Cricetulus griseus: one gene and its partners. The protein of the gene in region 6 purifies or fractionates together with the protein of the main gene of each other region. This does not show direct contact. Links are inferred from orthologs where the notes say so. Each region holds a gene or a part of one and is shown on either strand. Other genes may lie near its edges.

Region 1 (2,733 bases), on a different chromosome or scaffold from region 6:
CTTTCAACTATACTATCTTGTCTCTTTACTCTGGAATAAGTATACTCTGAAACTTTATAAAATGCCAAAATCAAATAGCTGTGCAAAGTACAACTGCTCTAGAGAAACCCTCCAAAGCAATAAAAATTATGCTGTGCTAACATGTCTGTGGCCTTGTAACTGCATTTCCATCTGCACCACAATCCCCTAAAAAGCTATGAGCTATCTTCTTAAACCTCCCAGGCAATGGCATCAACACAATGGCGTCTCTGGATTTAACATGCAGGTGAGTTTCTTTACAGCAATGTACCTGAAAAACCTGTCACTGCCCCTATAGGTCTCTAAGGGCTGGTGTTTACAGTCTTCTCTAGGTAGAAGCCACTGTGGGCACTTTAATGTGTCCTATTAAGTCACACTAGAATGATAACACATCTTACAAAAACAGGAGCTGAGGGCTAGGGGTGGGATGGGGCACTTCATACCTGCCTAGGCTGAGACCATTGCTGTACCACAAAATACTCAAAATTTCTGCTTGCACACATTTGAGTAATCATTTGTAACATCCTATGCCACCCTTTTCTCCCTGCAATCAACACCAGAACTGGCAATTTCCGACCCTAACCCTGACACTCTCAAGGCCATCTGACCTGCTGGCACACTACACAACACACGTACTTTTCCCCTCTGTTCTGCAGAACACTGGATTTGTAATGACCCCCCTTGAGAGCAGGTGATAGGCCCCAATGCCAATGTAAGACACAGAATTAAGAAACTTAAAAGTAGCCAAAAAAGGAGAAGCGAATTTCAAACAGGACAAAAAGATCCCCAGCTTTTTAATAAAAATATTTCATTTTTTGTTCTGCCAGCCTATGATTATCAATTAATAAACCCAACAAATACTTTTCAAAGCTATAAATTACATTCTTTTCCCAGCAATGAACAAATCCATTCTTCAAAAAAAAAAGCATTAAAACAGGAGGGTATAAGAATGCTTTGGCTTCTCCTAAAAACACAAGTAGCCAACATAGAGAGTGCTAGCTAGCCCAAACACCAGGCCATCAAGACCCATATCTAATACCAGAATAGAACAGCCCTCACAGGATACTGGAGATAAGATTTCCCCACTGAACATGTTCAATTACATTCTTCTTTTAATCACAGAAGGTTCTATACCATTTTATTTAGCAGATTTAATTTTCACAAACCTTAAAAAAAGCAAACTAGGAGAGGACTATCTATGGCATTAAAATGGCCATTAGTAAACAGCTGCAGACAGTTAATTAGGCAGTGCCATGTCTGAAAGTGTGCTTCCCCACTCAAGCAAGCAGAGGGGTCAGAGGCAAAAACCTGCTTTTCATCTCTCATATCCTTAAAACAGGACAGGACAGGATGAGATGGCCACACCTTAATCACTGAGGTCACAAGTGGCAGCTAAAGTGTACCAGAACTCTGTACTCTGTTTGGGACCTCTGTTCTACTCCCTCAACAAAATGTTTTCTCAATAAGGCTTTCATTTCTCCTCCCAGCTGGACATAATTCTTCAAGTGGCTTTTACTATTCAGACATTTCTTCTACCACTTTTACTTTCTTCTTCTTTTTCTTTTTGGTGGTGTCACTGTCCTAAAGAAAGAGAAAGTAAGTTCAAAGTACCCTTTGCCAAAATATTTCTGACTGTTCCCAAAAGAAATCTGGTAAATTGCAGTCAAGTCTGTTCAGGATCTGCAAGGGCATTTGAGATTAAACAAATTTTGCCTGTGACCTCAGTGAAGTCCTAGAAGTCTACTTTCACAAGGGCTTTGAGCAATCAAGTTACACAGCTTCCCCACCCACCAGCGACATAATTCAAACCATGATCCATTGCTCTAAAATGCTGGGTGCCCCTACTTGTCTGTCCAAGGGGAATGGACATGGCAAATCCAGAACACAAGGCAGCACCAAAGGAGGCAATGGTAGAACCCCACTCTTGCACTACAATTAACTGTCAAAACTCAGCCAGCACAAAGGCACCCATGGTTTATACATACCCCATCTCCAGCCTCGCCCCCACTTTCTAGCACAGTTTTAGGCTTCTTATCCTTCTTATTCTTCTTCTTTTCCTTCTTCATCAATTGGGGGACTACTGGAGGGGTCTCATCACATTCACTTTCACTCTCTCGCTTCCTCTGAGACAAAAAATTATTCATCCAGTAAGAAATGTGGAAAGTTACTAAGATTCCAAGTAAACCCAACAGTAAATTTTTTGTCTATAAACTTAAATACTGCCTGATTTATTAAAGATTTCAAAAGACAGTATCTCACTAAATAGTATTGTAAGCCATGGACCATGATGGGTGTGCCAAAGCAGTTTGGAGTATAGAAGACCTTGAGAAACTGTCTCAGTGAACCAACTCCAAATGCTCCCTTAGGTGCTCAAACAGGCACAAATCACAAATTCCACATAGCTTAATTCTAGTCACCCAGGTTTCTAACTGCAAACATACCATTTGGGGCTCTAATGACAATGGTCCAAAACCTTTGGAAGTTAGGTTACCACCATATGCTTCACTTCACTCTTAAACAGTGACATAGTATTGGCTGAAGATAGTTGCTTGTATCTGACAATTCTGTTCCCTGCTGAGTTTCCTATAGGCCTCTGATTTCGGTACACTTAATGCTATACCTATTTGACCCAAGATCCAAGGTCAGTCTGCTTTTTTTGTTTTGGAGACAGCGTTTCTCTGTGTTTTAACAGCCCTGGTGGTCCTGGAACACACT
Region 2 (4,475 bases), on a different chromosome or scaffold from region 6:
AAATATCTCACAGTTGTAACCTTTAATTTTCCTATTGTTTGAAGGAAGCACGAATCTGAAAACTAATATGTCAGGACACAAGGCCCGGCTAACTGTTTTGTCAAAACTGGAATCACACTACTTTCCAGTTATTTCTAACAGCATACCCAAGCCACCACCACCTCTCACACGTTGACACACACTCCTGAAACTGTTCTTCATGCTTCAGTCTTCCACTGTGGTTCCCTGACCCCAACCAAGCAGCAAGTCATCCTTTAAAAAAAAATTATTTTAGCCAGGCGGTGGTGGCGCACGCCTTTAATCCCAGCACTGGGAGGCAGAGGCAGGTGGATCTCTCTGAGTTTGAGGCCAGCCTGGTCTCCAGAGCATTCTAGGACAGACTCCAAAAGCTACACAGAGAAATCCTCTCTGGAAACAAACAAAAAAGGCTCATATACCGGGCCCTGCATGGCCTGTCTCAAGAGTCTCTCCTGCCTCTTGACTTTCTGAGGGTATTAAAGGCAGCACCACACAGTCTCCCTTGGTCCCTTTACTTAGCATGCTTGGGAACTCTACAACTTTTCCTAAACTCCATTTAGCATCCCTACCCATTCACTATGCTTCAGTTATCCTGCCTCTTGTAATCTCCAAACATACACACCAGTTCTCAGCCTGCATCTTTTTGAGTCAAAGTCTTGCTATGTCTTCCTCCAAGTGCTGGGTCACAGGCTTGTGCCACTTCTGTCCAGGTCTCTACCCAGAAGAGTTTTCCTCCAAATGACTCCTACTCTCTTTCACACCATTAAGATCAACGTCTAACTGGTCCTCAGAGATGCTCATCTCTACCACTGTGTTGACAATCATACCCCGAAGTTTACGACCTCACAGACTACTTTGTTTTCTTTACTCTTTTGACCCATCCCAATTTTCTACATGCACTTGAATCTGTAAGAAATTATATTTGCTGTTTCTACATCCGGCCTCTTCCACTTAACTAACAATACAAACTCCGCAGGGTAAACTTTGGATCTATCTTGAATAATCAGTACAGTCCCAGGTCAGGGTGGCCACTTGATAGATCCAAGAAATGAATAAACATTGGAAGCAATTTTAACTTGAAAAGATCAGAAGAAATCCTTACGTATTTTTTGCGCTTTGGTCTTTTCAAGAAAGTATCTCTTGAAACCTGGTCTGCAGTTCTTGCCACGTCTTCCAAAAACCGATAGTCTAGTAATTTCAGAAAGGAAAAATTAACAAGTGACATATGCCAGTGGCCAGAAAGCAGTCACCTGTTGTGCATAGAATGACTTACCACTTAGGAGATTCATCTCCGTAAACTGCTGTAGTGAGATGTAAGCGGTTTTATCTCGGACTCCATTACAAGTCAGTTCTGCTTTGTGCTTCTTTACGCAGGGCAAACTGCAGAGACAAACAGAAGGCAGTTTTATATCTGAAGTAAGTGGGAAGAGGTCAGGAATAAGGTAGAAAGTTACATATCTACCTGCAGGAATATCTCATGCAGCGTGGACATCTGTACTTTGCCTCTTCTGTCCCACAAGTTTCACACCTGTAAAATTCACCTGTGACTTAATACTCAAAAATTGACTCTACTCATGAACTTACAGCCTTTGAATGCTGAATCAAGCCTATTTACAGTTTACAGGCACGTAGTCAAAGCAAATAAAGCATATGTCAGCGACTCTGATCAATTCTTTTATAGCTGTCATTGAAAACTGTGAAAATGTTTGCAAATGACACAATGAAAGGCAATTCGAGAAAATATATATGAAAAATAGTCTGTTTGATTTCTTTTCTACTGTAATTAGAAATTAACATGAACCGGTGATTTTTGAAATTTGCAATTCAGAGATATTTTTGTGTGTGTATCTAGAAGCTGCATCTGGACATTTTTAAAAGCATACACACAAGCAAAACAAGACAGGATGAGGCCCAGGTAAACTTCATCGTAATGTATGCCCTCCCTTTGCAAAAGGACACCGAGAAAACCCAGAAATGGCGTTACTCGTCTGTTCTTAACAGACAGCCCAAGCTGTCAGGGGTAGAATCTTCACAGTTTGATCTGTGGGACCACATGAGCACACTAAAGAAACTACATCCAGGAATAAACATTCGTGGGGGCCGTGAAAAGGTTCAAGAGCAAGCTGACTGGCTGTCTATTAAACTCCACTCACTTTCTCATTGTTGGTTTTTATTAGATGTCCCCTGATTCCTAGTTTCTCCAATAGGCACAAGTCCTGCACAATCGCTTCACAGCTAACAAGCTCTGGTTCCACAAACGTCTCCAGTCCCCAGATTTACGCCCCCTGAGCTGACCACACCGTGTCGGTCACCGCCACTGCAGTGTCCCAGAATGTGCTAGCGAACACCACCATTCAGACTTGGGGCTCCCCCTTGGTGCCTGGTTTAACTGGTGCTCTTCACCGCCTGCTGCTGGGTGGCGGGGTCCACTCAACGCTCTGGGTTCCAGGTGGGTGTGCGCCCGGCCCTGCCCTACCTTGACATGGCCAGCTTCCTCTTGCAGCCCCCTCGGGGGCTCATGCGAGGCTCCCCCTTCACCCGCGGGCCATCCGAGCCTTCCGTCTTGAGGGAGCCCTCTTCTTTGACGCGCACCGCCTCCACCAGCTGCTCCTCCTTCACGTCCTGACCCCCCAACAGCTCCCGTTTGACGTCCACGCCCTCCTCCTCCTCCTCCTTCACTTCTTCCCAGTCCGGAACCTCCTCCTTCACCTTCACCTTCTCCTCCTTCACGTCGGGCTCGCCCGCCGCCTCTTCCTTCACCAGCGGCTCGCCCGCCTCCTCAAGCTTCACGCGGGGCTCGCCCGCCGCCTCCGGCTTCACCGCCCAGGGGCAGCGCGCCGGGCCGCCCTCGGCCCCCGCCTCCTGCTTCACCACCGCCAGGTCCACCTTCGCCTCCTCCGCGCTCGCCGCCTCCGCCCCCGCGGCAGGCTCCATCGGCTCGCACGCCGAGGCCGCGCTTCACCGTGGCGCTCGCCCGCCGCCGGCCACAGGGGTCCCCGGCGGCGCCACACGTGCGCGACCCCGAGCTCCGCCCGCCCGCCCGCACGCACGCACGCACGCACGCACGCACGCCGTAAAGCAGCCCTCCCCGGCCGCGGCTCTTCACGACTCGCGGAGCTCTTTACGGCTCAGCCGCTTTGCGTAGCGAGCACGCCCGGGCTTCCGAGTGACGGTCTGCAACGAGGGCACCCGCTCTCCCGTGTGCTGAGGGCTGACTCCGACCAGGGAGCCGGGCGACAGCAGCGGTTCGCGGCCCTCCCTCCGCACCCGCCACCCTTCAGTGCAGTCCCGGTGCGGGGGAGCCCGGCCCCGGCGCACAGCGACGCCGCTGCGCTGCGAGCCCGTGGCTGCACCCAAGGCGGAATTGCACGCTGATGCTTCTGCAGAGCGGGGTCTGCAGCCGGAGGGCCCGCCAGCCTCAGGCCGCGGCCTGGCTCTCGTCACGGAGACGCCAGCCGCCAGACGACGCTTTTATGCTCGGGCGGTGGCCGCCACGCCTTCCATCCCGGCACGCGGGAGGCAGAGGCAGGGGGATCGCTGTGAGCTCGAGGCCAGCCTGGTCTCCAGAGCGAGTGCCAGGATTGGCTCCAAAACTACACAGAGAAACCCTGTCTTAAGAACCGACCACCAACCAACCAAACAAACAAAAGGGAAACCGCCTTTAATCCCGGCACGCGGGAGGCAGAGGCAGGGGGATCGCTGTGTCTTAAAGGCCAGCCCGGTCTACAGAGTAAATGCTGGCACAGTCAGGGCTGCATAGTGAGGCCCTGTTTCAAAAACAACACGCGGGAAGTGGGGGGAAGGGAAGGAAAGGAGAGAGAGAGGGGAGAGAGATGCTCGTATCTGCTCCCGCGAGGATTTCATGAAACCATGCGTGGGATCACATACTACTGCCAGCAGCTGAAATCGCCGGTCACAGGCTAGTAATAGCCCCTCAAATCCATGCGCTCAAGCCCTTAACTCCCAGGACCTCACAATTCTGACCTTATTTTGGAGACAAGGCCCCTAAAAGCACACTGGTTTAAATGAAGTCATTAGAATGCGCCCGAATCCAAGCTGACTGGCGCATTTAATAAGAAATTTGCATACAAATTTGCTCACAGAGAAGGAGTCCTGGAGTGTGGCGAGAAATAAGCCTTCTGTTTGCCAATCCAGGTAGCCTAAAAGAGAAACCTCTGAACCCTTGGCCTTGGACTTCAGTAACTTCTTGAATTTCGAGAAAATGAAAACAATCTTTGTTTAAGTCACCCAGCTTGTGCTATCATGTGCTATCATTGACACACTGGCCAATGACCGTAAAGAACTGGGACATGCTGTTGTGTGACACTATTTCTGGGGAAGACGGGAGCAAATGTCTACTCGCCCCAGGGAGGGACCAACTACAGACCAAAGTAAGGATTCCAGGGAAGTCCAACTTAGTGAGTACACTGGGGTTATTCACACAAGTTTCATCCATA
Region 3 (3,095 bases), on a different chromosome or scaffold from region 6:
ATAAGAAAAGAGTAGAATAAGCATTAGAACTCTAGAGAATATATTACTAGAGTATGGACAGGTCACATTTTAAAGTAACTATAACTAACTACATATGACCCCCACAAAAACCCCAATTTTTATCATTTCCAGGCAGGAATGAAGATTCTTTTTCTTCAGCTCAGAAATTCCACTAATTTCTAATACTAGTGACAAGTTAGGGAATATATAACATCATTAATCCAAGTTCCTTTTTATAGGCTTATGGTCAAAACTTTTGAACCCATACAAATAAATTTTTTTTGTTTGTTTCACTGTTATCCTTGCATTTGTGTCACTGAAAGGAACATAAAATTTGCCCTGCAAAACATTATTTGGTTTTAGAAAGTTCTTAAAAATTTTAAAACTATAAAGTGAAGGGTCATAGAGTATGATTTCAATTTAAGTTTCTGATATGAACTGATAGCTCCAACCTAGACTATCAGTCTATAAAATATGATGTGATAGGGGTAGAGAGACAGCTCAGCAGTTAAGAGCACTTGTTGCTCCTGCAGAGGACCCAGGTTTGATTCTTAGCACACAGGCAATGTCCTGCATCCTTCTGTAACTCAGTCCCCGGGAACCTGCCTTCCACTGGTATCCACAGGTACCAGGCATGCACACAGTGCATACACATGCATGCAGGCCAAACACTTATACACATAAAATAACATAAATCTTTAAAAAATTTAAAGATAAAATAAAAAAAAATGAGTGACTGAAGCTTCTAAAGTATCAATTTGACATTCTCATCTTTCTACAGTTGGCATTTAAGGACGCTAACTGGTGTCGGTGGGCACAGAGCTTTCTTTGTGTTAAGCAAATCCTCAAGCTTTTTGAAAAATCAAGTCTGTCAACAGATACTGCTTGAGCAGTGAAAAGCCAAAGGCCCTTCTCCTCCAAGAAGCTGGTGCAAAGCCACACACCTGGCCATGCTGCTGATGGCACTGCTGGGAGTAACCTTTGGCACTCTGTCCATACTGGCAGCAACTGTGGCAAGTTTTAAGGCTGTTGGCGATGGTGCTGAAGTCCGTGTATTGATATGCACATTGACAGGAGAAACAACACTGACGTTATTGAGGTGCACTGCATTGGTCAGGCAGGAATTGTTCATGGGAAGCGTCTGAGGACTGCTTGTGCACAATGCTGGGATCAAGTGGTTTGTAGTAGTGTGGCCAACTGTCCTTACAAGCTGTACAGCTGAAATCCCTGCGCTGGATGATAAAGCCATATTGGTGGAATATATTGTTTTAGATGGTCCTGCAGAAGAGGGGAGAAATCATTCAATTAGTGTCATGGGACAATAAAAAAAACCCCCTAAGAATTAGGAATTTAGTTAATGAAAGTAAGTGTACTCATATTCTAGTTCAATAAATTCTCAGTTAACTTTCCATATCACAGTCATACAAAGAGGCTTCACCAAGCATTTTGCTATCTCTCTCTGAGTCAACTTTGGAGATAAACACAATAGGACAGATGAGAATGATGGCTGGGTTGCCCTAAACAGTTATAGGCATACAAAGATCAGCAATGCGGGCTGAAGAAAGAAAAGAAGGAGGATGCTCCTGAGTACATCTAATGAAACTAGAGGGTTCTCAGCTGGGAGCTGGGAGGAGACAGAGAAGCACTGTCCCTGGAGCACAGGCAGTAGGCAGCAGGCAGGCTTTCACAGCCATAATGTATCCCTAAAGGAGAAGTCAGGGGAAGTATATCTAAGAATATGTGCACATTGGTATGTAAACCCAACCTCAAGCCTTATAACTGACTGTGCTGTTTTGTATTTCACTTTTTAATCAATTCATAGATGAATCAATGGGGGTGATTGATAATGAGCTCAATGGATATTTCCTAACATGTGAAGCAACTGATAGTCTAAGATGTAATCAGGATGGATGGATGGAGGCAGGCATACAGAAGACAGTGTTGAGAATTCTGGAAACACTCAGTTCCTCATCCAGATCCGTCCAGGCATTCTGAAGAGCACTTGTATACATTTCCTCTGTGCATATAACAAAACCAAACCCAACTGAGTAAGTGGCAACTTCAAACTACTAAGTATTATGTGAAACCCCAGTTGTACCTGAAGGCTGGACAACACCATTCATGTTGTTGTGGCCAGTGTTCTGTTCCTTGGATACCTCACTGCGACTAGGAACAGGAGCACTGACAACTGCAGATGCAGCAAAGTGTGCACTGGCCGAGTCAAGTGTTTTAGACATACAGTCAGAGGTGCTTGAGCCCTATAAAATGGATAGAAGCACAGTTCAGTTTTCCACATTTGTCTGTCTGTCTGTCTATGTATCTATCTACTAATCCCCCCTGCCCCCACCTCCCACCCCTGCCAGTGACAGGGGAAACAGGAATATGGAGTATGTGTGGAGGTCAGAGGACAACTGTCAGGAGTTGGTTCTGTTCTTCCACCAAGGCAGTTCCAGGGATCCAATTCAGGTTGTCAGACTTGGCAGCAAGTGCCTTTACTAGCTAGGAAATCTTGCCAGCACCCTACATCCTCAGTTTTGTTAGATGGGATTAATGAGCACATTAAGGAATGTTCGGAACGCAAGGACATTGCCTTTCTAATCATGAATAGTCGAAAGTACTTAGCTGTGAGGTTTTTTATTTTATTTTGTTTTTATTTTTTGGTTTATGAAGCATGAAAATCACTAGAAACTAGCAAGCAATTATTTCTGAGAAAAACAACTAAATTGAAAAATCCAAGTTCTATTAACTTTTCTAGGTAATAATGAACACTTTAAAACTGCTTAATGAGCAGACACCATAAATAAAATAAAATCACAGACATGATTAATAGCCACTTCTATCAAAATGTAAAAACCTGGACCAATCCAACTTTGAAGAAGACTGCAAAAACTTCAGGTTAGTTATCTGAAGAGACTCACAAAAAACAAAGCAAACCAAACTCAGTGGCTACTCTTTCATGATTCTGTGTAAAACTGCCTGCTACTAACAATGATAGCCATAGGCTCTAAGTCAAGCCCAGATCTACTAGGACTACCAGAGGGTGTGGGGATAGCAACCAGGGTCACTAAGATTTCCACGATGTTGGCTTATGACTT
Region 4 (4,019 bases), about 11 Mb from region 6:
ATACTGAATTAAACACTTCACTAATGAGAGTACCAGAATATACAAACAAATAAGCAGGGGCTTTCAAACAAAACTGAAACAAAATGTTTGCTGTTTCTTTCTCTACTAAGTCGCTCACTGTTGAACTGCTGCTGGGCGCCTGAAAAACCCTGTAGAAACTGCCTTTCAGAAAATGCATGTGAGATCTAATCCCCTCTTCTGACCTCCCCAGGCATAAACATGGTGCATATACACATGTTCAGGTAAAACCCCATATCCACAAAACTTTAAATCTTTCAAAAAATTTAAAAGATTCAATAATATAAAATGAAGAGCCTTCCTTTTTATTGGGGGGGGGGGGTTAAGTAAACATTTTATCCACTTAGAACATCTTTAAAAAAATAACTTGGGCTGGAGAGGAGCTAAGTGGTTAAGAGCACTGACTGCTGGTTCAACTCCTAGCACCCACATGGCAGCTCACAATTGTAATTTTACCAACCACCCATGGCAAAATACCAATGCACATAAAACAAAAATATATTAATTTAAAAAGACCTGAAAACAAAGTATTTTCAGATAATTATATTCTTAATAACCTTAAGACTTCACTTAGATCATATGCAGACTGCAATAGTCACTTTAGAAATTTTCAGAATCATGACATTAAAAAAATTGGCATCTCAAACTACTATTGATGCTATGATGCTGTGTGAGGTAAGTGAATTAAATCATAGTGTATAGGCTGCAAACCAAAGTAAACATGCACGCACGCACGCACGCACGCGCACACGCACAGTAAAAGAAAACCACATAAATGATCTTTCAAATGTGGTTACTACTAACTACTGGAATTATGGGAAATCCCAATGATATAAATTATCTGTATAATCAAAAAGAAAAAGGAAAGCATATGACAAGGCTAAAACTATGAATGGGGCCACACTATCTAGAAAAACTTTGGCTTTCCAGCATTTATTTCTTTATTGATTCAATGATTGGCTGGATTGACTGAAGCACTGGTGATTGAACACAGTCTTTAAAATACATGACATGACACATGGCTTCTTTGGTATACAATATGAAGATGAAAAAAGATGAAAGCAGGGTCTCCATTTGCAGTTTAGGCTGGCTTTGATCTCTCAATCCTCTTGCCTCAGCCTGAGATGTTTCTTTTAAATAACAAAAAGAAGTATGATTTAAGTTTTGAAAAAAAAAAAAAAAAAAAAAACGGGACTTACATACAAATCTTTTTAAGTACACATTCTGTATGCTAAGATTCTTTTCTGCAAAAGGCTTTACTCTGCATGAGACAAATGAAAGCTTGGAGTGTGGTAGTTGGCACCTTTGCCATTGAGTAACACTGCCTTCCTTTCTACCCTTGGCTTGATTTCCTTACACTTCTCTGCTCTGCTATCTATCTGGCAGATCTACTGCTAAGAAAGAAGAGACAGGATCACAATTAGCATTATGCTTCATAACGGTGCCCACTACCATCTACTATGACCTCCACAGGCACTTCTTCTGGGACTGCCCCTAAGTAATTAATTTATCACCAAAGGCAATGCTCTCAACAGGAAGCTAAGCCCTAGCTCCCTTTAGCTAACACAGTGGTCTGCCCTGACACACACAGACTTACATTGTGCTCTCCTTCAGTGACACGTATTTCATAGCAATAGGCCAGAAGGATGTCAACTAAACTGTAGTACACTTGACGGTGAGCTGTCTTGTCCAGCAGGTAAGACTTATTCACAAATTTTCTTAGCTGATATTTTTCCTCTTCTGAAAAAGACACTAGAAGAAAACACAGTTCTGAATTATTTATTTATTTATTTATTTTACAGTCCTGAAAATTAAATGTGCTATTCAGGTTCATAAAACCACCAGTGCAGAAGATTTGCCAAAATGGAATTCTGAATATAAAAGCAAAATCAAAGTTATTTATCCATAACTCTACATATAAGGCAATTTCTTAAAGGAGGATTTTCAAGCTTTATTAAGAGCCATGTGTCTATCCAAACCTTCTAGACGTTCCCCTCCTACATTTCAATAGCAGTTTCTGACTTCACAAATCTTTTTCCTAAAGTTTATTCTTATTATTCTAAATTATGTGTATGTGTGTACCTGTGTACGTGTGTGTGTGTCTGTGTGTGTGTGTGTCTGTGAGAGAGAGAGAGAGAGAGAGAGAGAGAGAGAGAGAGAGAGAGAGAGAGAATGTGGGTATGTGCATGTGACTGCAGGAGGCTAGAAATATCATACCCCCAGGAACAGTCAGAGAGAGAGAGAATATGTGGGTATGTGCATGTGACTGCAGGAGGCTAGAAATATCATACCCCCAGGAACAGTGAGAGAGAGAGAGAGAGAGAGAGAGAGAGAGAGAGAGAGAGAGAGAGAGAGAGATATAGGTATGTGCATGTGACTGCAGGAGGCTAGAAATATCATACCCCCAGGAACAGAGAGAGAGAGAGAGAGAGAGAGAGAGAGAGAGAGAGAGAGAGAGAGAGAGAGAGAGAGAGAGAATGTGGGTATGTGCATGTGACTGCAGGAGGCTAGAAATATCATACCCCCAGGAACAGTCATTAAAGACAATTAGGAGCCACCTGACACATGCACTAACCAATCTGGTAGAGTCTTTTTGTCAACTGAGGTTCCCTCTTCCAAAATGACTCTAGCTTGTGTCAAGCTGACATATTAGCCATAGCCAGCATACCTTCCTATACACACTTCTCACCCCACCTGGCAATGAACTTAGCAGCACTTTTCCCATGTCTTTCCAGTTTAATGAGTTTAAGTGACTGTGATAAGGAGAATTCCAAGATGAACGCCCAAAGAATGGCATCACTCCCTTTGAGGAATAGATCTTGTTACTTGATTCTGCACAACAGAATGTGACAAAGATGACAGAACAGCTATCGCCATGCTTACATTCCATTATTGTCAGAGTAGAGCCAGGGTATTCCTGGAGTGACATGGCATGTGAAAAGGCTATGTGGCAGGTACTTCTGGGACTGCCACAATCTGAAGATTGCCCCATTTAATAACTGGCAAGAAAGTGGGGCCAGTTTTGCAGCTTGAAGGAAGAGAATTCTGCCAACAATAATATGAGCCTGAAGGAAAGAATGTAGCAACCAAACCTACTTTTTAAAAGAGATGGGCATATTTGGCCAGTATGTCCAACCTTTTAACAATGTAAAATGATGCTGTCGGGTCATGATGATCAGCACGTTAAAGGATCACACAATCTAGTTACAAAAAAGATCATTCAAAGGTCTCAGAATGTTTTATGTAGTTTTTGATTTTGTGTTGGTCTGCATTAATAGCTCTCATCCCATAGGCCACAGACATATCTGAGCTACCACAGTCTTGCAAGGCCCAAAGGACCTATCAGAGCCAGACCTGACCCCTAATATATGGAGACTATGAGAACACCAGCATGGGGATAAGCTGTTCTACAGCAAAAAATTTAACTGTGACCCACTACTGGGTACTTGAGTTAGTGCCGCTCTGCTAAACATATGGCATTTGTTCCTGGTTATGTTGGCAAACTGGGTTTGCTCTGTGAATTGCCCATCAAACTGTGTTCTTTCCAATTTTTCCTATGGAACAGCTTGGCTTATCAAAGTTTTAAAAATTTTGTGTATTATAAATATAAGTCCTTGGGTCAGCAAGATAGCTCAGCAGGTAAAAACACATGCCAATCATGTCTTTGGCCAATCATGGCCAATCATGGCCAAAGACAACTGATTTTGTTCCCAAGGACTCAATAAAGTGAGAAGGAGAAAACCAACTCCATGAAGCTGTTCTCTGACCTCTACACATGAGCCATGGAATACGTAAACCCACACAATTACGAACACACAGTAATAGATATATTAAATATAAATCCCAATCAAATTCCAAATCTGCTGACTTTGTTTGGGTTACCTTTTGCCACAGAAACTGTTTTCATTATAATCCCACATAGTCCTAGATTCTGGATTTACTGCCTTGGTTCATGTTTTTTCCAACTCCTGAATCATACATGAAGTCTTTTTAAGGTTGTT
Region 5 (4,752 bases), on a different chromosome or scaffold from region 6:
TATGAAAACTAAAAGGGAAATCATCTGTCAAAATCCAAATTTTCAGCTTGGTGCCCAAACAAATATCTCTTAACCTCTGAAATTTCTTCCAGCAAATATTCAGTGGTCTGCAGCTCAGAGACATGCTTTATATAGACCATCCTGGCCGATAATGGAGGCTTTCTAAATAGAAAGAATGCCACTGTAATCCATTTCCTAGGGGTGAAAGCAAGGCATTTTTGTCCCAATGGCCAATTGAGCAACAACCACAGACTCTAGCTGAATAGCAGTGGTGTGAGGAGCTACTGTTCCCACAGTTAGAAGCCCAACTGCAGAAGGGGCTATTTACAGAATTTAGGGAACTACGTAAAATGAACTGCAGACGGGCTGACATTGCACAGTTGTCTGGGATGAAAGCAACATTACAAAATGGTTTCCTTTTATATTATATAACTCTTCTCTGTTTTTAAAAATTTGGTATCTCAGTCATGTTTTACTTGATATCACCCCTCCCCAAAGAAGAGCAATGCAGAAATATAAGCCCACGCAAAGAAAGAGCTAGTTTTAAAACTCAATTCTTTCTCCTTATAGTTTCGGAACCCTGTATTGGAAAGGATAGCTCATTTCTACAGATAAAATAGCACAGGCTCGGGGGAGGGGAGTGGGTGTGGAGGGGTGGTAGGGAGTGCTGTCCGTAAACAAAGCTAGCTCTATGGTGAACTATAAATTCTGTTTTGTATATTATTTCTCTTTAGTTCGTTCTCTTTTGCTTTTTTGTGACATGATCACACACTATAATCCACGCTGGCCTCAAACCAGCTGTAATCCTCCAGCCTCAGCTCCTCCAAGGTTGGGATTTACGTGCCAGTTAGGGTGACCTTGAACTGCAGATCTTCCTGCCTCTGAACCCCAGCTGCAGTTTAGATTACGATGCTGGCCTATTCTTAGTGGGCTTCTGAATCTTGTTCAAACAACAGTAACAATAACTGTAAACATCGGCATTTACCCAAGCCGTTTGGACCATCATTTCTATCTCTGCTGGTTTTTTAAAAGCAATTAAAGACTTTGGATCCTGAGGGAATATGGTCAAATTTAGTGTACTGTGTATGAAATGCTGGAATTTTCTATTAAAAAAAAAAAACCATAAAGTCTGTGATTAAGTGTAGGGGAAAACCTTGGATTATTTTAACTATAGTTTAAGGTTTAAGTCATGTATAATCACCCAGCCCCGATTTTCTTTCTTCCCTTCCCTCCCCTCCCCTCCCCTCCCCAGCCCCACCCCATAATGGATGCTCCGCTAGTTGCATTTGCTCAGCCTTTGTCTGAGGATGCAAAGTCTACGGATGCTAGGGGGAAGGGGTGGGGGAGAGATTACCTCATACCATGTCGCTTGCACCAATCACCACTCTCCTGTCGCGGCTTCTCTGGGCAGACGGAGGGGTCTGGACCAACAGGAAAAGGCCGTGGCCCATCCCCATGGTGACCGAGCTGTATATAAGGAGCCGCATCCGCCCATGTGCCGCAGGTTCTCTTACATCGACCGCCTAAGAGTCGCGCTGTAAGAAGCAACACCTCCTCCTCGCCTCCGCCAACCTCCGGGCAGCCGCAAAGCAGCAACCATGGTGAGCCAGCCTTCTTCCCTGGTCCTCCGTAACTGGGTGGAATCAGTCTCCCGAGATCTTCAAGGGAAAGCCTAAGTCTTTGTCACCCCTGCGGGGAAGGGTGGTCTCAATGCTTTGTTAAGTTGAGCTTTGCGCGGAGTCCGTAAATCCCGCAGCCGCAGTGCGGGGCAGGGAAACGCCCAGACCCGGGGAAGAACAAAGGCTCCTGCGAGTGTTTGCTCGCACAGCCTGGGCCGTCAGGGCGGGGGTTCACGGCTAGAGGGGTGCGCTGCGGCGGGCGAGCAGGGCGGCGGCCGAGCCCTCACTCCAGAAACGCCGCCCCACTTCTATGGGAAAATGGTTAGTTTGCGTCGGATCCATGGCAGCCGGTGTCAGGGAGGCGCAGGGGCGGGGTTGTTTGTCTCTTGCTTCCGTGGCGTTTTGGGAGGGGTTCGCCCTCTCTAAACTTCCCTCGGGAGTGGTTTTTGTATTTTTATTTTTAAAAAATTGCTGTGGAACTGTAATCTTACAAGAGGTTTTGTTTGCTTGAGTGTCAAAAGTACGATTTACTTAACACCAGGACATCTCGCTGGGGAGAGAGGGGCTGGATAGTTGGTGAGGTTGCCTCGACTACCCTGATTGTCAGAACCCAGGGAAACGCCCTTCCCCACCCCCCACCCCCGCAGACAATGAAAGTTGTAGCTTTAAAGACAATAGAAAACTATCTCTATAGAATAAATAATACTAATATATTATGTGGTATGTAAAGATTCATCGAATAAAATACCATTTTCTAGTTTTAAATGTTATCTTTTTACTCGGTTTTTATTGTTGGCCCTTGTTTCTAACTTAGCTTTAAGAATATTTTGCTTCTATATAGTGGAAAAGATTCTGGAAAATCTTCATTATCTAATGAAACTGCTGCAAGGAAAAAAATTATACTCCGTATCCAACTGTCTTTTGTTCTAATACATCTTCACTAATTCATTATTTCAGGCAAATGGCCCAGACAGGGTTAAGAGGGTTAGGAAACTGAAAGCAGCGAGGGGATCGTATAGACAGCTGCTGGAAATAGAGCTTTCTCTGTTAAATAATGTAACAAAGGGCACAGGCTAGCACCAGGCACAGCAGACACAGCAATGCAGAAGTCACACTTTGTCTAGTGCTGATGAGTTCTGCAGAAGGGTGTGGCTCCTGCCCGCAGCCGCAGTACTGATGTCCATGTTGAAATACCAGATCACAAAAGATGAAGCATTCATCTTTACTTATCAGGAAAAGAAGCAATTAAAATAATTCCAGACAATTATTTCACTTTACAGTATCAGTGTATTAAGTATTTTTCGAACATGAAAACTCTTCTATTTAAGTATGGCTGTGAGAACAATGGGTTTGCACCAAGTCTTAGTATTAAGGTGACATTATTCAGACCACACCCCTTTGCAGTATTTGTATCAGGTACTCATTATTGTTTCTGTCATATGAGGGATATGACTCCAAATAAATTTCAACAATATTTGTGTTATTAGAAACACTTTAGAAATCTATTAAAATCTAAAATAGAAATACAGCTTAATTTCATAATTTTTCCCCCTTTTCCACAGCGTGAGTGCATCTCCATCCACGTTGGCCAGGCTGGTGTCCAGATCGGCAATGCCTGCTGGGAGCTCTACTGCCTGGAACATGGCATCCAGCCTGACGGCCAGATGCCAAGTGACAAGACCATCGGGGGAGGAGATGACTCCTTCAACACCTTCTTCAGTGAGACAGGCGCTGGCAAGCATGTGCCCCGGGCCGTGTTCGTAGACCTGGAACCCACAGTCATCGGTAAGTGGGCCAGGGGTTTCCCTGAGGCATTCTGTCCTGGTCACATACTCAGAACCTCTCCACACACCGCCGAAGAGTGAGTGAGCTTGTGTGTGTCAGTTACTGTTGTGAATGGTTGATTTCATCTCCTTTTCCAGATGAAGTTCGCACTGGTACCTACCGCCAGCTCTTCCACCCTGAGCAGCTCATCACAGGCAAGGAAGATGCTGCCAATAACTATGCCCGTGGCCACTACACCATCGGCAAGGAGATCATTGATCTTGTCTTGGACAGAATTCGCAAGCTGGTAAATACCATAGATGGATGGGTTCATTTAAAATGCAGTGTGGGGGAGTGTTGGGACCTGCCAAAATAAGTAAAGTCTGTTCACTACATTAATTAAGTAGACTTGTACATGTGGTCTATGGGTCATGAGATCATTTTTAATACCAATTCACAATTTTTTCCTTTCAAGTAAATGTGGTTTGCCATCTTGAGGAATTGCAAGCAGTGCTGAGAGTATGCCCTGTTGATAAACAATGCCTGTTCTTTTTTTCCTACAGGCTGACCAGTGCACAGGTCTTCAGGGCTTCTTGGTTTTCCACAGCTTTGGTGGGGGAACTGGCTCTGGGTTCACCTCCCTGCTGATGGAGCGGCTCTCTGTCGATTATGGAAAGAAGTCCAAGCTGGAGTTCTCCATCTACCCAGCCCCCCAGGTTTCCACTGCTGTGGTTGAGCCCTACAACTCCATCCTTACCACCCACACCACCCTGGAGCACTCTGATTGTGCCTTCATGGTAGACAACGAGGCCATCTATGACATCTGTCGTAGAAACCTCGACATTGAGCGCCCCACCTACACTAACCTAAATAGGTTGATAGGTCAAATTGTGTCTTCCATCACTGCTTCCCTCAGATTTGATGGAGCCCTGAATGTTGACCTGACAGAATTCCAGACCAACCTGGTACCCTACCCTCGCATCCATTTCCCTCTGGCCACATATGCCCCTGTCATCTCTGCTGAGAAAGCCTACCATGAGCAGCTTTCTGTAGCAGAGATCACCAATGCCTGCTTTGAGCCAGCCAATCAGATGGTGAAATGTGACCCTCGCCATGGTAAATACATGGCTTGCTGCCTGCTGTACCGTGGGGATGTGGTTCCCAAAGATGTCAATGCTGCCATTGCCACCATCAAGACCAAGCGTACCATCCAGTTTGTGGACTGGTGTCCCACTGGCTTCAAGGTTGGCATTAATTACCAGCCTCCCACTGTGGTACCTGGTGGAGACCTGGCTAAGGTCCAGAGAGCTGTGTGCATGCTGAGCAACACCACAGCCATTGCTGAGGCCTGGGCTCGCCTAGATCACAA
Region 6 (3,632 bases):
ACTGATGGTTTACTAAACAGGTAAGCGGTGAGACTGTCCTCATGCAGACTCCCAAACCATGGCTAACACGCAGCCCTAGAAGAGGCACAGCTGTTCTAACCCTTATGTGTGGTCAGCAGAGAGCCACTTCACTCAAGAGCCCAGCATAGAACAGGGGACATAAACAAGGTCCCAGACATGGCAGCCTTGGCCAGGTGCTTAGGGCTCACAGTATAAGTGTCCTACTGAAAGTACCTGCCAAGATGGGCTGTAGACTTGTGTGGCTCTCAATGCCCAACGGTCATCAGAACAGAGATGTCTGGGAATCTCATAGCCTAGAGCCTGAAAGGAAGATGAGATGTAACATCCCGACACAGCTCTCAACGCTCACTGACAAATGTCCTGCCCTACTGCAGAATGGAACTGCACTGATGCCACAGTAACTATAAGTCTAAACTGGTCCTGCAATTTCTGTGTATGTGTTATGCATAAATAACCTTGTTTTGTGCTGCAAATAGAACTTAGAACCCCCCATAGTAACTCTAGCTCCAGGGGCTCTGATGCCTTCTTTTGCCAGTCCCAGGCACCTGCAAGTTTGTGTGCGTGTACACACACACACACACACACACACACACACACACACACACACACACACACTCCGCGAGCATGGAGTACAAACATAAAAACCTAAAAAGAGAGGTATCATCAAAATAACCTATTCAGTTTTATTAGAAAACAAGCCAGGTGGGAAGGGGTTCCTTCCAAGCAGACATGGAGGTTTGATAATTTAGAAAGAATGTTCCCAGAGTCAGCAACACTGCAAAGCACGCTTGACTCAAGGCCCTGTCCACGGTGTGGGGTCTGTCCTCTGGGTGCACCTCCCAGCCCAATGTTACTTCATGTACTTGTCCTGCTGGTCAGCCAGAATCTTGGCAGAGGACTTGGCATCATAGAAGAGTTCGCTGATCTCTTCCACATGCTCCTTCTCAATGCTGTCCTTCCCGTTGATCTTTGCCAGCAGGTTGGCTGGGGTCAGCAGCTGCACAGAATACCTACAGCAGACAGCACAGCGTGAGCATGGGGCCACTGCAGGGAGCCCAAAGTCAGAAGGCGAGCATGGACACTGCTGGCATGGCTGCAGCCATCTAACTGCAAGGAGCCCAAGGTGAGGACGGCAAAGGAGAACTGCCACTGCCCATCACAACTGAGACCGGGGACACCAGGGGACAGGGGACACAAGGCTCTTCTCACATCTGCAAAGGGGGTGACTTCATCTCTGCTGACAGACTAACATTTTGATACACACACACCCTGGCAGGGCAGACAGTATCAACTTAGACGGGGAATTTTCACATGCAAAGAAATGAACACAGGCAACTGAAAGCTCATGCAGGCCCAATGAACATTCACTAAACATGTGACAGTTTCTTCCTTTACTTCAGGAACAAGAGCAACATACTCAAGGGACACAAGGAGGGCTCAGGGTCTGAAGACCTATCGTCTATCTTCTCCAGTCACTGCCTTTGAACCCTGGCAGAACAGCCTGGAGAACACAGCACTAATCCACTAGGCTGCTGCCACCAGATACCTGGAATACACCCAGGGTAAGGGTGATGGGGACAGGCCCTGCTCTACTGGGAAACTGGAAGAGAATGGTGAACTCTACTAGGGGCTTGCTGAAGACTGGGTTCTAACTCATTTCTAGATTCTTAGCACTCTAAACTTAATGCCTGGAAAAGGCCCTTGGCACAGCATAAGGGCTCCAGCAGGCTGCTACCTGGTGTACACACCTCAGTGTGGTCTTGGTGCCAATCTCCCCCAGGTGGTTAAGCGCCTCCTCGCTGATGTTGATGCCTTCCGTCTGGGCTCGGATCTTAATGATCTTTGGAGAAAAAAAAAACAATCGTTAAGTGTCTCAACTGTGTTCAGTGTCTGACCAGCTGATGGCCACCAGCACTGCTAGTCTGCATCTCTGGGAATCACACGCCCCAGCCACAGTCCACCTGGATGACATCATAGCCAGGGGTACCCCCATGTCCAGTGTAGCTCACAGCTTCCTCTTCCTTTTCCCTGTTACAGAGAGCTAGGTCCACTCCTAGCTTTGCCCTCAAGGCTCCAACATCTCCTGGCAGCTTGAGCACTATCACCTAGCAGCACTCAAGCAAGAGAACATTTTTTTATTTGTTTGATAAATACTATGGTTAAATAAATCAAAAAAGTTACTTTTAGAGATTTACCAGCCCTCCTAACATCGCTGAGATATCTAATCTATCAAGCGCCTAATGCTTGTTGCACTGTGTATCCTGGTGAGGCTGGAGGGGTGGCCGGCAGGCGGTGAGATGCTGCAGCGGTGGCACAGGGTCCCACGGGCACTGCAGCACTGAGTGATAAGGGCCAGCAGGATAATGATGTTGTGTGTTGTGGGGCCGAGATAACTCGAGGACTTCGAGCCTCATATAATACAGGAATTTTTCACTCTGGCAGCTTCGTAAACAAGATATCAAGAAGCCGTTGTTTAAATTAAAGCCGTAAAAACAGCCAGAGCAGAGGCACAGGAACTGGAAGACACTGAGTCCTAGTTCCAGGCTCTGGAGAGAGAAAAGAAGAGTGGAGGCTTGAGATGGCTGAGTGTGACAACTCAGGGCTCTGCCGGGGTCAGCAGTCATCAGCTGCCTGTCACTGTAAGCAGCCTGTAAGGAGCTCAGAGCAGCAGGCTGGCATGCATTCCTAAGAGGTGGCCACTTCGCAGACCCCCACTGCCTATGCCACCTTTATCCAGACAAGGTTGTAAGAGAAGAATTGGGGGAACTCTTGACTGGTTCACACATGTCCCAAACACTACAGAGGCCTCAAACATATGTGCGGTGCTCCTCAGGGGTCAGGATATGATCATCTACACAGGCTATTAGGTCCAACAGCAGAGGGGCCCAAGGTTCAAGGGCTGTGGAAAGCAAGCTAGAAAGGATGTCCCCTGCTCTACTCCATCAGCCAGCTACATGACTCAAGAACTCCTGACCAACAGCTGGACAAGGGAGACTGTGGGCCAATAGCACAAATGGCTGCTCAGGAGTCTTCTGGAACTTCAAGAGGGACTGGGGATTAGGTACATCAGAGGCAGGGCATGTTCTCAGCATGTATAGGGACCTAGGTCATATCCCCAGCACTGCCAACTCCCGAGAGATATAAACACTGAAGACCAGAGGCTGGCCGAGGGGAGGGCTGAGGATGCTCAGTGATGCTGGGCTGGTGATGCTAGGCTGGCCCTCCCCTCAGCTGGATCTGTGGCTTGGCTTCCTTCCACAATGCCAGTGATATCTGCTCTCACTGTCTCTAGAACAGACCAGAGCAATCATGGGAGCTTCTACCTCAGCTGCTTGGAAACAGGCAGCTCATGAATGAGATCTTTAATCATTTAATAACCTGCAGGGGTGTTTATGAGGTGTCAGTACTAGTGGCATTTTGTACATGTTAAGTTGAGCTTGTCTGTGTAAAACCTGCCTTAACTCCAGCAAAAGGCTGAGGGGATCCCTGAAGCTGCAAGGCCAAAGCAAGACCCAGACAGGTAGCCACTGAGAGAAGCCCAGAGACTGGCCTGAGCAGGCCTGTCAGTCACAGCTCCAGTATGAGAGGAGACTCCAGAGCAGTTTCGCCTG
Region 7 (4,589 bases), on a different chromosome or scaffold from region 6:
CAAAGACACCTTTTCCTGATGCCAGTGCACGCTGGAGCCTCACAGGACAAGCAATGCAAAGAGTGGGCATCTAGGAAAGGTGAGTGGCTGCCTCCTTCAGAGGACAGTGAGGGCGGTGTCTTATTGCTTGTGACTCTCAGTCCTCTGGTCCCATGCACCTGCTCCTCTCCACACACTGTGGGCACAGCGGGAACCAACCAGGAGAAAGCAAGAGGTTGGTCAGAGGCTTCACCATCCAAGCGGAGAGGATGCTGGTCTTGTGGACCAGTCAGGTGCTCGGATGGTCTGATGACACAGGAGAAGCCCCCACTAGCATCTCTGCCGGATGGTCACATTCACCCGGGAACCTGAGAACAGGCAGTGAGGGCTTGCAGCATTAGCGCATCTCTGTGGCACCTGGGGCTGAGGTGTCTATGTTCGGCGCCTCTTGGCAGCACTGGGGCTGGAGGGATTGCTGTTGGCAGTCAGGACCTTGTCAGTGACCCGGCTGCGCTTCCGCTTGTCTGCCCCGTCTTTGCACCCCAAGTCTGAGGAGTTCTTCTCCTTGTCTTTGCTGGATTTTTCTAATGCTTTCCCCAAGCTCCCTGAAGATGAAAAAACTGAGAAACAAAATCATTTGGCTGAAGACAAAATATACACAAACTCATTTTTTTTTCCTGTTCAGCTAGATAATGAGATATACATCAGGCTCTCTGCACCTAATGTTACCCTGGGTGGGAGTCCTGTGAAGCTTGGGCTATAAGAGACGCCTCATCTCCCTAGGGGTCTCCTGTCTGAGCACACTTGATGCTCCCAGGTTTGGCCTTGGTCTCAGTGAAGGGACAGCTGAATGCTTGGCCCCTTCCAGGCCTTCAGGGGCCCTCCTGCCTGAGGTGAGCTCATCTCTAAGTGGACCCTCCACCCCTCTGACTCCACGGCTTCCTGGTCCCATTCCGCCTGAGGCGTGCCACGCTTACCGTCATCAGCCCCACTGTGGGGGTCCACATCCTCCTTCATCTCCTCCTTCATCTCCTCTTCAATGACCACTTTTCCTGTGGAGGAGACAGCTGCCGTTCACTGGAAACCCACGGTGGTGGCCAGCGTTGGGGGATGGTCTGGCCATGACTGCTTCCGATTCTCGCTGCCCACACAGGCCTCGGCGTCCATCACGAGATGGCATCCATCAGGAGACTGCCTTTGAGCACCGCTCTCCCCAGCCCTTGGTTCCCAAAACCTCCCGGGTGCCACTGGATGTGGGGTCTGAGCAGGATCCTTACACCTCCCTGGAGGCCCCAGACCTCCCCACCTTTGGCCTGGTCCGGCTTTTTTAATCCCCAGCCCCGATGGTGGCCGAGTCTCACCTTCTCGGACCTCTTGAATGATCTCATCTGGAAGGACAAAGTTCCTCTCTGGATTTGGGAATGGGAGAATCTCAGACTCGTGCTGCCGGCACAAAGCAGTTTTGGTTTTTTTTTTGTATTTTTGAGAAACAGAAAATGGTATCAGCTCACTAAGATGCACAGGAGGAGCAGGCTGGAGGCTGAGCTGGTAGGGTTCCTGGCTCTAGCTTGCAGAGTCTACTGCAGCTGGGCTTTTCAAATGAGGGAGGGCCAGGCTAGCACCAGCCCAACAAAGCCAGAGAAAAGGACCAGGCGCGTGCCACCCAGAGGAAACTGGCAACATGTCAGCCCCGCTGATGTGCATACCAGGAACTGACCTGGCTCACCACTGCAGTATTCCCACCAGGACAATGTTCCCCAGGTGCACCATGACCACAGGCACCTACAGCTCCACCTATCCTGGTACTGAAGTTACACTGCCTGTCAGACACTATAGACAAATCTGCCCAGCTTGGTTACTAGTTACCCTGCATACCTGTCACACATTGCCAGCTCTCCAAACCAGTTACACAGTCACCCATCAGACAGCGCTACCTCTAAGCTCTACAAAGAGGACTACATCTGGCTCCCACAGGGGTATCCAGTGCACCTCAATGGGACTCAGATGGGGTCAGCCTCCACCTAGAGCGCTCGGGACCTCTTACTACTTTACACTGAGGCTGATGCTATTCTCTGGCATCTCAGCAGCCAACTATCTATCTCCCTGGAAGACTTCTTGTGGCCACCCCAGATCTAAAGCAAAAGTGGTCAGAGACCATCACTAGTTAGTGCTTTCCACAGCAGGACTTGGGCTTTCCTGAGGAAGGGCCTCATCTACTGAGATCACTTCTTCTCTGCTCTGCATAGTGAACCCCACGTGACCGGTGGGCTCTGTCTTGTACTACCACAGATGATCCTAGGAAGACAGGATGTGGGTGGGACCCGTCTCCACCTTCAGCCCCAAAGCGGTGAGCCACGGTCCAACTCACCAGTGCCTGCATGTCATACATAGTGCTCAGATGGTCCCAGATGACCTTGGATGGGACCTGGCGCCCAATATTCTGGCTGAACTTGTCTCGAATACAAATCATGTGGAAATGTCGATTCACCCCTGAGAGGCAGGACAGTGGGTTAGGGGTTAGGGCTGCATCTCTGTGCAGACAGCATGGACGTTGGAGGGGCAGGGGTATGAAATGGCAGGTGGGGGTGTTGCAGGAGTCAGGTGTCAAAGAGGATAGAGGTGTCAGGAGGCAAGTGGGTGTCCCAGGGGCAAGTAAGTATACAGTAGGCGGGTCCGGGGCAAGGGGGGCTGCAGAGGCGGGGACTGTGGAGGCGGTCCCTGGGGTAGGAGTGTCTCAAGGGCAGGGAAGTCAGGGGCGTCCCCCGGGAGAGGGCTTCTCGGGCAGGAACGTCATGGGGTCTTGGACTAACTGGGCACTCCGAAGTGGGAGGTCCCGTCTCGGGTGAGGTCGCAGGCTCCGCCCGCCCGCGCTCGCCCGCCCGCCCGCCCGTTTACCCGCCCCACCCCCATGCGGGTGCGCGGCTCGCCGCGACGCTCACCGACAGGCTTGTGGCCCAGCATGGCGTGGAAGAGGCACACCTCCACCTCAGGGCTCCACACTACCGTTTCCTCAGCAGGGCTCGGGGCTGCCTCGCCGGGGCCCTTGTCGCCTGGGGCGCCCGTGCCGCCCACCTCGGCCTCCCCCATGGCCGCGGGCGAGCCACAAGCGTCCGGCGAGAGAAGGGTTGCTACAGGCTCCGCGCAGGCGCACTCGGTGTGGAGGGCGCGCGCTAGCTGGGCTCCGGATCGCCGCGTATCCGCGTCCGCGCAGGCGCAACAAAGGCTGGCTTCCGGTGCCGGCACGCCCCCTGGTGGTCAGCCCTTTCCCTGCCTCCGGCTCTGGCCAGAGAGGGAGCTGGCAGAAACCTTAGCTTTAAAAGAACACCGCACTCCTTTAATCCTAGCGTTCTGGAGGCAGAGGCAGGAGAATCTCTGAGAGTTCCAAGTCAGTCAGTCTACATGGCATGATACACACGCCCCTAAGTTAAATATGTTAAAAAGATTCAGGCTCTCCCCCTGCCAGTAATAAATCATACAGTGTGTAAATTACATCTCAGTAAAGTTGTTTGTTTGTGTTTTAAAGCCAGGGGCTAGTGAGATGGCTCATCCAATAGAGACGCTTGTGCACAAGCCTGATAACTGCAGCCTCACCCCTGGATCCTGCAGGGGGCAGGAGAGAACCAAGTCGACCCTCTATATCCATACCATTGTGTATGTGTGTGTGTACACACACACACACACACCATAAATAAGTAAAAATAAAAGCCTGACAACCACAATTTGTAGAATTGAGGCTCTTATCATCTCAGAATGGCCCTGGCCTGGTTGCTCATGACAGTCCCAGAGTTCGGTGCTTCCTTGGCATCTGGGTCCTGCTGGCCTTGCCATCTACTTCTACCTCCGTACTGTCCCCACAGTTGAGCTCCACCAGAAGTGGGTTGGTGATGAATTCAGACAGGTGTTAGTTTCTGGTCTGGCCACTGAAGAGGCCTAACTTAACATCAGTGCAGCCATGACAGGCTGCAGGCTAACAATACTGGCACTAGGCCTCATTCTTAAAATAACCAGGAAAAACCACAGACTGTACCCTGCAGGGGACCAATCAAAATTGAGACAAACAAATACTAGATGCTTCAGAACACTAAGAATAGCTTACCTAACTTGTATATAGGTTGACAATTTCCTTGCAGCAATGCCTGCACCAATCCCTGTTTGACAGGATTTCTGTTGCCTCACTCCTGCCCAATCTGGAGTTTAGCCCCGATCTGAAGCCAGAATTCCCTTACACCCCATCCTTTACTCCTTAAAAAACCCGCCATAGCTAAGCTCAATGTTCTTCCTGATCCAACCACCCTGTTGGAACGGATGGAGAGCCCAACCTGGAGCTTGCAATAAAGGCTCTTTGCTTTTGCATAGGAGCTCAGACTCCTGGTAGTCTCTTGGGGACTAATGACTCTGGTATAACAGCCACAACGCCACACTGGATTGGGTGGGGCCAAGTGCTGGGCAGAGCAGTCTACACAAGAATGTGGTCTCTCCTTGAGGTCTGAACCACCCCAGTTGCCACCCGTACAGGTGTCTCTATCATTCATCCCTCATCTATGCCCTCCATGTTCAGGCTTCAGAATCCCTTTCCTGACTGCTGCCTCTCAGCTGTGGCCTTGGAATCC

What was found.
Region 1: the proteins of Ruvbl1 (region 6) and Dkc1 purify together in Homo sapiens (affinity purification with mass spectrometry; 4 studies listed by BioGRID and IntAct, counting the BioPlex papers as one, with this or other methods). This does not show direct contact. The link is inferred for Cricetulus griseus from reciprocal best matches to the Homo sapiens genes RUVBL1 and DKC1.
Region 2: the proteins of Ruvbl1 (region 6) and Znhit6 purify together in Homo sapiens (co-immunoprecipitation; 3 studies listed by BioGRID and IntAct, counting the BioPlex papers as one, with this or other methods). This does not show direct contact. The link is inferred for Cricetulus griseus from reciprocal best matches to the Homo sapiens genes RUVBL1 and ZNHIT6.
Region 3: the proteins of Ruvbl1 (region 6) and Epc2 purify together in Homo sapiens (co-immunoprecipitation; 3 studies listed by BioGRID and IntAct, counting the BioPlex papers as one, with this or other methods). This does not show direct contact. The link is inferred for Cricetulus griseus from reciprocal best matches to the Homo sapiens genes RUVBL1 and EPC2.
Region 4: the proteins of Ruvbl1 (region 6) and Shq1 purify together in Homo sapiens (affinity purification with mass spectrometry; 3 studies listed by BioGRID and IntAct, counting the BioPlex papers as one, with this or other methods). This does not show direct contact. The link is inferred for Cricetulus griseus from reciprocal best matches to the Homo sapiens genes RUVBL1 and SHQ1.
Region 5: the proteins of Ruvbl1 (region 6) and Tuba1a purify together in Homo sapiens (affinity purification with western blotting; 3 studies listed by BioGRID and IntAct, with this or other methods). This does not show direct contact. The link is inferred for Cricetulus griseus from reciprocal best matches to the Homo sapiens genes RUVBL1 and TUBA1A.
Region 7: the proteins of Ruvbl1 (region 6) and Mrgbp purify together in Homo sapiens (co-immunoprecipitation; 6 studies listed by BioGRID and IntAct, counting the BioPlex papers as one, with this or other methods). This does not show direct contact. The link is inferred for Cricetulus griseus from reciprocal best matches to the Homo sapiens genes RUVBL1 and MRGBP.

Annotation. Positions count from the first base shown.
Region 1 is NC_048604.1:738,749-741,481, forward strand, and holds the end of Dkc1 (H/ACA ribonucleoprotein complex subunit DKC1), read right to left. Parts: intron 2,142-2,733; coding exon 2,004-2,141; intron 1,600-2,003; coding exon 1,534-1,599; 3' UTR 782-1,533; downstream 1-781.
Region 2 is NW_023276806.1:13,622,330-13,626,804, forward strand, and holds the start of Znhit6 (box C/D snoRNA protein 1), read right to left. Parts: upstream 3,053-4,475; 5' UTR 2,953-3,052; coding exon 2,495-2,952; intron 1,547-2,494; coding exon 1,481-1,546; intron 1,399-1,480; coding exon 1,292-1,398; intron 1,207-1,291; coding exon 1,121-1,206; intron 1-1,120. UniProt on the Homo sapiens protein: Required for box C/D snoRNAs accumulation involved in snoRNA processing, snoRNA transport to the nucleolus and ribosome biogenesis.
Region 3 is NC_048599.1:124,754,815-124,757,909, forward strand, and holds part of Epc2 (enhancer of polycomb homolog 2), read right to left. Parts: intron 2,259-3,095; coding exon 2,099-2,258; intron 1,279-2,098; coding exon 945-1,278; intron 1-944. UniProt on the Homo sapiens protein: May play a role in transcription or DNA repair.
Region 4 is NC_048601.1:43,316,863-43,320,881, reverse strand, and holds part of Shq1 (protein SHQ1 homolog), read right to left. Parts: intron 1,771-4,019; coding exon 1,616-1,770; intron 1-1,615. UniProt on the Homo sapiens protein: Required for the quantitative accumulation of H/ACA ribonucleoproteins (RNPs), including telomerase, probably through the stabilization of DKC1, from the time of its synthesis until its association with NOP10, NHP2, and NAF1 at the nascent H/ACA RNA.
Region 5 is NC_048595.1:395,417,469-395,422,220, reverse strand, and holds the start of Tuba1a (tubulin alpha-1A chain), read left to right. Parts: upstream 1-1,501; 5' UTR 1,502-1,598; coding exon 1,599-1,601; intron 1,602-2,886; exon of another isoform or gene 2,887-3,181; coding exon 3,182-3,404; exon of another isoform or gene 3,405-3,541; coding exon 3,542-3,690; exon of another isoform or gene 3,691-3,747; intron 3,748-3,946; coding exon 3,947-4,752. UniProt on the Homo sapiens protein: Tubulin is the major constituent of microtubules, a cylinder consisting of laterally associated linear protofilaments composed of alpha- and beta-tubulin heterodimers.
Region 6 is NC_048601.1:54,796,080-54,799,711, forward strand, and holds the end of Ruvbl1 (ruvB-like 1), read right to left. Parts: intron 1,899-3,632; exon of another isoform or gene 1,862-1,898; coding exon 1,770-1,861; exon of another isoform or gene 1,422-1,769; intron 1,145-1,421; exon of another isoform or gene 1,032-1,144; coding exon 872-1,031; 3' UTR 680-871; downstream 1-679. UniProt on the Homo sapiens protein: Possesses single-stranded DNA-stimulated ATPase and ATP-dependent DNA helicase (3' to 5') activity; hexamerization is thought to be critical for ATP hydrolysis and adjacent subunits in the ring-like structure contribute to the ATPase activity.
Region 7 is NC_048599.1:1,356,719-1,361,307, forward strand, and holds the start of Mrgbp (MRG/MORF4L-binding protein), read right to left. Parts: upstream 3,146-4,589; 5' UTR 3,067-3,145; coding exon 2,919-3,066; intron 2,470-2,918; coding exon 2,348-2,469; intron 1,423-2,347; coding exon 1,341-1,422; intron 1,032-1,340; coding exon 957-1,031; intron 600-956; coding exon 412-599; 3' UTR 1-411.